2 linked regions of the Canis lupus familiaris genome follow. The protein of the gene in region 1 purifies or fractionates together with the protein of each later gene. This does not show direct contact. Links are inferred from orthologs where the notes say so. Each region holds a gene or a part of one and is shown on either strand. Other genes may lie near its edges.

The links. Proteins that work in one complex are often made in the same cells at the same time.
Region 2: the proteins of HSPA12B (region 1) and EEF2K purify together in Homo sapiens (affinity purification with mass spectrometry; 3 studies listed by BioGRID and IntAct, with this or other methods). This does not show direct contact. The link is inferred for Canis lupus familiaris from reciprocal best matches to the Homo sapiens genes HSPA12B and EEF2K.

The regions. Positions count from the first base shown.
Region 1 is NC_049245.1:18,054,739-18,059,425, forward strand, and holds part of HSPA12B (heat shock 70 kDa protein 12B), read right to left. Parts: intron 3,239-4,687; coding exon 3,064-3,238; intron 1,870-3,063; coding exon 1,783-1,869; intron 1,357-1,782; coding exon 1,252-1,356; intron 1,136-1,251; coding exon 877-1,135; intron 380-876; coding exon 276-379; intron 1-275.
Region 2 is NC_049227.1:23,623,771-23,628,457, forward strand, and holds part of EEF2K (eukaryotic elongation factor 2 kinase), read right to left. Parts: intron 4,304-4,687; coding exon 4,243-4,303; intron 2,259-4,242; coding exon 2,221-2,258; intron 1,847-2,220; coding exon 1,675-1,846; intron 1-1,674. UniProt on the Homo sapiens protein: Threonine kinase that regulates protein synthesis by controlling the rate of peptide chain elongation.

The DNA of each region.
Region 1 (4,687 bases):
TGGGATCACAGTTTTGGGAACCCAATACTATCGCCCGATTTTATAAGTAAGGAAACCAAGGCACCAGAGGTTCTGTCACTTGGAGAGACTACGCATATCATCCCTCCTAGTTCTTAATACCCACCACACTGTGTCCTCCAGGTGTTCCAGATGATTCTGGGTCTCATTGCAGTGTATGGATGTGTGGATGTGTCCAGGCACTAATAAGGAAGAATCATTTCTGCACCTGAGTGTGAATGCGGGGGTTAGTGGAGGACCCAAGCTCAGGCACTCACCTATGTGCTGGATGATCCCACTGACGGTGGGCTGAAAGAGCTCGTTCATGGCCTCGCAAGACATCCTGAGCATCCCCTGTGAGGACCACTTCACGAAGTTCACGCTGTTGATGAAGGGGGGCACAGGCTCATGGGTCAGGGTCCAGGGTTCTTCCAGGGTTCCTGGAAGGCCAGTGTGGCTGGGTACTGACTGCAAATTGTGTGTTCTTCCAACCCCACTCCCTCAGGGGCTTTAGCAGCCCGCCTGCGTTCCAGGCATGAAGTCCCAGGAGAGGAGCCTCTCTTTGCTTCTGGGCGGAGGAACAAAGGCACACTGCCTGGTATAGGGTGTGTGTTTGTGTGTGGCTGTCGAGGTGGGTGTGGTGCAAGGAGAAAGTTACTGGCCCTTCCTCCAGGCTCAAGATTTGTGCCCCAGTTGGCACCCGGGTTCTAGCGGATTCTAGCTGGGATGCTCATGCCCTCCGCCTGCTGTCGGCTGGCAAGAAATGTGCACGGGGCAGATGGGGCGGATTCCCACTGTCCTGTGGGACCCACATCCTCCCTTGCAGGGGCTTTCCCCAGCCGCAAACCCTGGTTTGAGTCCGTGGTCCCCGGGCCCCACCTGCTGCGGCGCAGGGCTGTCTCCACGTTGTGCCCTCGCTGCTTGCGGTAGAAGTCGATGAAGGAGAAAGGCAGGGAGATGTTGAGCGCCCCTGCACGGTGCGGGCCTGCCGTGCGTTTGCGGGCCTCGAAGGCGATGGTCAGATCCACCCAGGCTGCCGGCCGTTGCCTTTTGAAGGTGGTGATGAAATCCTCGCCGAAGATGCGGCCCAGCAGCTGCTCAAAGGCCAGGTCCACGCCCACCGCGCCATAGGGGCCGCCTGGGGTCGGGCAGGGGAGAAAGGGGACGTCGGCGCAGACTCCGCCGCCAGAGGGCGGTGGCAGGGCCCGCGAGCCCTGGGTACCCAGCGTGCTGCCTGGCTGGCTACTTACTCACCGGATGCCTTGTAGAGTTCCTTGAGGGTGCCATGTGGCTGCTCCAGCTGGTGCACCGTCAGGTCCACCGTGCCTCCTCCGCAGTCTGCCACCACGTAGCGGTCTCCTGTGGCGGCGAGCGTGAGCACACACTCCTGGTCTGCTTTGCACCCTCAGCTCTGCTCCCCTTCCAGATTCACCCAGCCCCCAGCCCTGCCCCACACCAGAGACCCTTGCCTGCGGGGAGGATGGGAGTAGGAGTGGCTGTAAGGGGCTTCAGGTAGTTGAAACTTAGGCCACCGGGAAGGGGCGCAAGGGTTTTGGGGAAAATGTTTCCAGGACTCTATCAGCAGAGAATCCCCCGGAGAAGTGAGAGTTAGGGGTGAGGCTGAGTGACATGGAGGTGCAGGTGACCATGGGAAGACTACCAGGTTAGGTGCAGCTGATGGAGGAGTAGGGGCAGGGTTTCTAGGGTCTGGAACCCACTTCAAGAAGGTTCCCTTGCCCCTACGGTTCCCCTCAGGGCCCAAGAAACATCCCTCTGTCCCCCCACCTGCTTGCATCTCTGCCCACAGCTCTCCAACACCAGACTCCACCAGGAATGTACGGCTGTGGCGGGACTTGCGCAGCTGCTCGCGGGCTGGGGTTGGGGGGGAGGCAGGGAGGGACAGCAGGACAGTGGGGTTAGAGGGAGGTGCCTCAGCTACCAATCTTGACCCCCATCCTCCCACCAGTACCCTCCATGAGTATCTGGACCAGCCAGTTCTCCTGAAACTCCTGCTCTACTACTTCTAACTAGGAGAAGGCAATGTTGAACCTCAGAGGGTCCAGAAAAACCTGATGGGGTAACCAACAGCTGAGGGGAAGTTTTTCTGGCTACAGTACATTCCCTTAACGCTGGCAGGCTTGAGGCATGGCAAAATCAGAGTTGGGACAGTTTGGAGGACCTGTGCGTAGCTGGGGGAGGTGGGGAGAGGTTGGTCCTGGGTGATTCAGGGGAGCCTAGCGTTAGGGACCTCTCCTACTTACAGGAGATGGTATCTGGGAGAGTGACTAAGATTGACCATAGCAGTCTCAGGGCCCAGTCCAGGGACACTGGAGCTGGAGCTTGGTAGCAGGAGCTCAAGGCTATTGTGGGGGAAGGGGAATGACAGCTGATGTGCCAGGATGGGAGAGGCGGCTGATTCAGTGGCTATTTAAGACAAAACCCTTAGAGACCACCTTTGGCTCAGAATGGGAGCTGACGGGATCCCTGGGTGGTGCAGCGGTTTGGCGCCTGCCTTTGGCCCAGGGCGCGATCCTGGAGACCCGGGATCGAATCCCACATCGGGCTCCCGGTGCATGGAGCCTGCTTCTCCCTCTGCCTGTGTCTCTGCCTCTCTCTCTCTCTCTCTCTCTCTCTCTCTCTCTCTCTCTCTGTGTGACTATCATGAATAAATAAATTAAAAAAAAAATCTTAAAAAAAAAAAAAAAAAGAATGGGAGCTGACTTCCTCATTGTCAGTACCTGAGCACCTCCCCTCAGGACAGTTTGTTTCCCCCTACCCTCAGATTCAGGATGGGCGCTGAGTCCTACCCTCCTCAGACAATGATCCTCCAGGGCAACATGAAATCTCTGTCCTCAGATTGGGCTTCCCCAGGTCAGGGCTGTGCCTCCTCCCTCAGACTGAATTGCACCAGAGATGTTTCTGCCCTCTCAGATTGGGCTGGAGACGGGGGAGGAGGGGTTATCTCCTCTTTATGTTGGACATGGCCAAGCCTCTGGCCTCAGTGACCCTCCAACCCTCCAAGGGCAAATGTAATACCATTGGGTAGTGCCCCTGGGGGAAGCTCACCCTGCCGGAAGCTGGAATCGATGGAGCGACGCTCACCCAGGCGTCCACTGCCTGGAGCCCGGCTGCTTAGGTCCAAGAGCTGGTGTAGACGCAGCTTGCGGCAGTAGACAGAGGCAGCCTCTGGCTCCAGGGCGATGAGTAGTTGCTCTGCATCCTCCCTGGACACCAGGCCAGCCTGGGGAGAGGTGGTGGGCAGGGCCAGGGAGCTCTATGGGTCAAGTGTCACACCTAAGCTGGCACCTCTGGGCAGGCAACCAGGGCCTGTGGGGCTCCCACCACCTCTCCATCACACCCCACCCATGGTGGGCCTCTCGCCGCCCCCTCCCCCCAGTGCTGCACACATGTGGAACTGCCTCCCAGCCACCCTGTGACCAGGCTGGGGAGTGGCACCGCCACTGCCAGGAATGCCATGGGGTTACCCAGGAGGAAGAGACCCTAGACAGAGTGAGAAACCTAGAGCACCTGGGCTCTGTCCCTCCAAGCTGCCTAAGGTGGCCCAGGCTGCAGCAAGGTCCCCTTCACATGTGCAGGGCTGGCCAGCTGAGCACCAACTGAAGTGTTAGCCCAGACTCTAGCACAGTGTGTATGGGGGTGTAATGGCCAGACCCCCAATTAGAGGAGATGGTATGTGTGGGGGGTCCCCTTTGGCTCCCTGAACCTTTGTCCTTCATGTCCTTCACCAGGCTGGTTGGCAGAGAATACCCATAGGCCTCCTCACTCCCAGAAGAACTTGCTTCCCCAGAGAATCAGATACAGGCACCAAGAGACAACAGTAAAATTCCAGGTGCCAGGACAGGTCAGTTGGGGGGAGAAAAACACTCGGGATCTTCTGCTTCCTGTATCAGGACAGGGGATCCCTGTGGGAAGTACTCTACAGTTTTGTGGGATTCCCTGGATTCTGACTGGGTGGGGGTTGGGGATGGGTGGGTATCTAGACTTCCTGTCCAGGGTCAGCCCTTCCTGAACTGGCAGCCATGGAACAGTGTGGGAGGAACCAGGGTGGATAAACCGGCAGGGTGGGGGGCAGTGCTTATCCTGGCTGGGCACAGCCTTGCTTTCATCCTGGTCTCTGCAGTAGGGATGCCCACTACCTCAGGGTGAGCTCCTATAAGTGCAGGCACACACAGATCTGACACCTGGAGCATACCTGGCCCATGGTGGGTGGGGGTTGGGAGCTCTGATATCTTCCAGGGGGTGCACTGGCAGGCCTTTTGGAGGTCCTAGGATGTCCCCCAAGGACCAAACAATGGGTCTTGCTCTGGGAGGTTGTGCTTCCTTACTTCCTCACTCCATCTCACTGGAGGTAGGGGGACTTGACTTGTCCACCCTTCCCCCCATTCTCCAGACCTTTGGGCATCTCTTATGGTAGGAAGCCCAGCTTTGGTCCAAATCACTTTCCTTCATCGTCTCATAGTCCTGTGTCCCTTGCTCAAGAAATTACAGTGGTTGAGGCATGGTGGTGGAGTCCCTGACAATACTGGTGCTGGCTGAGGTGGAGGAAACCATCTCACTTGGAGAAGTTTCCCACACACCCCCCAGCAACCAAGACAGACTGATGGATATACAGAAAGCCAGGTGCCTTGCCTCACTGTGGTCAACTGCTGGGTACAGTTCTCCCTCTAGC
Region 2 (4,687 bases), on another chromosome or scaffold:
GCTTGGCCAGTGGGCTCACTGGGGGAGGGGTAGCTGGAGGTGTGCAGCCATGGAGGGATGGCCGGTTCCCCCTCGGACAACTACATTCCTTTCCCTTCCTCAATTCAGCCAATCACATTATTTACTGAGCACCTAGGCACTGTGATAGAGTGAACAAGACAGATAAAATCCCTGCCCCTGGGGGAGAGAGGCAACCAAAATATTAACTACAGGAACAAGTCTCCTTTGGACAGCACTAACTGCTTGAAACAAAAGAAACTAGAATAGACAGACAGCCGTGACAGAGGACAGTAGTAGAAGGGCTACTCCATTTAGGATGGCCTGGGGTGGCCTTGCTGAGAAGGTGACATATGAGCTGAGACCTGAACTATGAGAAGGAGCAAATCATGCAAGGTTGGGGCGGTGGAGAGAGGCAATGACAATGATACAGGCCAGGGGCACAGCCAGGGCAAAGGTCCTGAGGCAGGAACAAGCTGAGGGAGGAAGAGATAGGAGGCCCAACGGCATGTAGCAAATTACTGAGGAGGTCACAGACCCCATGGGTGGGGACTGTGGGTTCTTGTGTCTACCCCAAGTGTACCTAACCAAAAGCCGTGCAAACAGCAGGTACTCAATAAATTCTGCTGGATTCTTGGAAGTGTGGCTCTCCTGAGGTGCCCAGGAGACAGTGTCCTATTATCTAGTAGGTATTCAAACAATGGGAGAGCTAAGCTATGAATTTGGCCAGGGCAGAGACAAGGAGTGCTGTTTCTCAAATGCCTACAAGCAACAGGAAATTCTGCTTGCCCCAGGGTCACTAAACAACCTGGGGACTCAAGTGAAGGAGCCAACTGGGCAGGGGCCTGGAATGCCTGGATTTGAACCCTGGCTCCCAAACAGGCAGGTCACTTAACCCCTTTGAACCTGGGGCTCCCAGAGGGCAGACATGCTATCCATCCTTCCCTCCTTCTGCTTTTTCTTGGGAGCCACCAATTTCAGGCTACATAGTCTGGGGGAAGGACCCACACTGCTGCCTCTAAGGGTGAGCACATGGCTCAGGCCTACCCAATCTGCATATTCCCTCCCCTGGCTATTGTGATTGGCTCAGCAACAGGCACCTGACGTAGTCAGAGCCAATGAAACCCAGTTCTGAGACTTTCATTGGAACTTCTGGGAAAACAGGTATTGTCATGCCACCAAGGTTTCTGAGAAGACAGAAAGTGAGCCTGCAGGTGCCAGTGGTCGACACACCACTACAAGTGGAGAAACTGCCTGAGTGATGCCACACAGAGGAACACCTCAGCTAGAGATGGGGGAAGATTCTCAACATCCTGTTGGGTCCTGGATCTGTCCATACCTGTGGCCAGCCCTATGTATCAGTTACATGAGGCAATAAATTCCTTTTTAGTATTGAGCCCACTTGAGTGGGTTTTTAACATCTGCAAACAAAAATCCTAACAGATCTCATCTGTAAATGGTATAAAAACATCCTAACCTCAAACAGCCTCAGAGCTCTGTTTTTAGGAAGAAAGGACTCTTTGCACAGAGTGTGTTTGGCCCATCATGCTCAATAGAGGATGGTTGTTACTAGGTATTATTAAGACCGTGAAGGGAAACTGTGACTGGAACCACTGTTGCCCTTGTCTCCAGTCCCTGGCCCTGTGTGGGAAGGTGGCAGGAAGGGGCACCACGCACCTGCTTGGGGGGCTTGTGTCGATTATACTCCTCTCCCCAGAGCTTGGCCTCCATCTGTAGACGCACATCCTCAAAGTACACATCCCTGTCCACAGACTCAATGTACCGCTTTGCCACGTAGTTGGAGGCTCCTTTCCACTGCTGAGTGTGCAGAAAGTTGGAGAGCTTCTTTCTGGGGTTTGGGGGAAGCAGCAGAGGATCTTCAGCAGCCTGGGCACTTGGGTTCATCAGGGACCCAGCCTGACCCACTGTATCCTTCAAAGAGCTGGGAAGAGGCTTAAGGGACATAGCTAAAGGTCTCTTTTCCCACATCTTTTGGCCTCCAAACACCAGAGCAGAGGTCAATGGGATACTCCCATGTTCTCCCCGAGCCCATCCCCACAGCCAGGGCAAATGTGTGGTCCAAAGGAGACCAGATAGAAGCTTGGCCTACAAAAAGTAGAGGCTGCTGTCTCAGCTTCTTAGCCAGAAATGTTGCAATGCCCCTACTCTTGGGAGCCTGAGAGAGTCTGGGCAGGGCCCTGAGAGCCAGGCTGAGTCACTTACGTCCTGAAGCACTCCCTCATTGCTCCACGGCCGAAGGGCTGAAAGACACCACACAGACGATTATCAGTCTCCATGTCCTACCCAGAAGCAGTCCTGAGGTAGGAAGACTCCCCTACTTGGACATCACCCACCAAATCGGTGCCTGGACCTCATCTCAATCCTAAAATTCCTGGGCCCTCCCTCCTTCACCTCAGCTCTAAAGCCTGAGCAAACTTCTAGCCTGGAGGCTTCAGGGATGACAAGACCACCCTCCCTGCACCGTGGCTGAGGGGAAGAGGCCTCAGGGGGTGAAGGTGTTATAGGGGTAACAGTGAATGTCAAAGAATGTCAGAAAAGCTCTGCTTTTCTGTTTTCTATAACAGAAAAACAGCATAGGGGCACCTGGGTGGCTCAGTCAGTTAAGCATCCAACTCTTGATTTTAGCTCAGGTCATGGTGTCAGGGTTGTGGAATCGAGCCCCATGTCCAGCTCCAGGCTCAGTGCAGAGTCTGCTTGTCCCTCTCCCTCTGCCCCTCCCCTGGTTCTCTCTCTCTCTCCAATAAATAAATAAAATCTTAAAAAAAAAAAAAAAGAAAAAGAAAAAGTAGAAACAACTTGAATGTCCTCCAACAGTATAATGGATAAATCAATTAGGTCTACTCACTTGATGGAATACTACACACCAACGAGAATGAATATATTCTGTTGTTCTCTTCTATTATTCTTTATTATTCTATCAACTATAGGGCTAGCAAAAACAAGTATGAATGTGACAGACGAAATGCTGAGGAGAAGCAGCCATACTCAAAAGTATACATACGGCATGGCTCCATTTATAGGAAGTACACAAATAGGCAAAACTAATCCAGGGCAATAGATTCCGGGTTGGTGCTTCCCCCAGGGGTAAGGGAGTAGTGACCATAGTGGAGGGGGACTTTTGGGGGCCACTGGTTACACAGAGTGTTCACTTTATGAAGTTCATCAAGCCGCACCCTTTTTGGAGTGTATGATACATGAGAAAAAAGTTTTGCAAAACCATCCGCCTCTGACAATGCAGGAGGTGCTCCATTTTCTAGTCTATTTCTTTCTTTCTTTTTTTTTTTTTTTTTCCAAAAGGATGGCTACAAGCCACTGAATCCTTTTATGACTCAGGTTTAAGTGATGACCGCAATTTTTGAAAACTGATATATGCATTTATAGCCAACTGGTATATTTTTAAAGATTTTATTTATTTTGAGAGAGAGAGAGAGAGACAGCGAGCAGGAGCAGAGGGAGCAGCAGAGGGAAAGGGAAAAGCAGACTCTCCGCTAAGCATGGAGGTGGATATGGCATCATGACCTAAGCCGAAGGCAGATGCTTAACCAAGTGAACTACCGGATGCCTACGTCAATGGATTTTTGACAAGAGTGCCAAGGTATGTTCAACTTCTGATGTATGATAAATACATAAAATGTCCAGAATAGGTAAACCTACAGAGACGGGTTAGATTAGTGGTTGTCTAGGGCTGGGGGAGATCTGGGGATTGGTAGTTGGCTACTGGTGGGTAAGGATGACATTTCTTTTAGAAACGGTGAAATGTTCTATATTGATCATGGTGATGGTTGTACAACTCTAAACCCAAAAACCACTGAACCCATACAGTGTAGATAGGTATGTTGTATGGTACATGAATTATATCTCAATAAAATTATTATAACAAATAAAACAGGGGTGCCTGGGTGGCTTAGTGGTTAAAGCATCTGTCTTCGGCTCAGGTCATAGTCCCAGGGTCCTGGGATCGAGCCTTGCATTGGGCTCCCTGCTCTGTGGGGAGGCTGCTTCTCCCTCTCCTCCCCATTCCTGCTGTCTCTTACTATCTCTCATTATCTCTGTCTCTTTCTCAAATAAATAAATAAAATCTTAAAAAATAAATACACAATAATATAAAGAATGCCCTTTAGTTAAAACAATTAAGTGAGTGTGAAGGGGAGGGAACAGGAATAGAAGTCTATTCAGGAAGAATGCCCACTCAGCTCTGCGCTCACTGGGCTGGGGATGGCTCACCTGAGATGCCATCTTGATCAGAACTTCATCTTCCAGCCATTCCCCAGTGACAGCATTGTACCTGGAGAGAGAAGCCACCCTGAGGGCACAGCATCTATAACATGATCCTGTCACCCACTGGCTAAACATGAAGGGTCTGTGGACGTCTCCCTCCCCTCTCGGGTCCGCACACACTGGCCTCTTGCCCCTTCCTCTCCGACATGTCCTCCGGCACTTGTGGGCTTGTTCCCCATCTGGTCCCCTGCACTGGACTATAATGCCGCAAAGGCAGGCCCCTGTGTGTCATCCTCACTGCAGGGCCTGGTACGTGTGGAAGCTTAAAAAATGCACGTTGGATGAACAGCTGAATAAATAAATATCCTTATTTTAACCAGTCAACACAACAAATGGTGCATGTCCCAGGACAGGAGGCAGCAGTACCCTGATCTTGCTGGGTACCTATGTG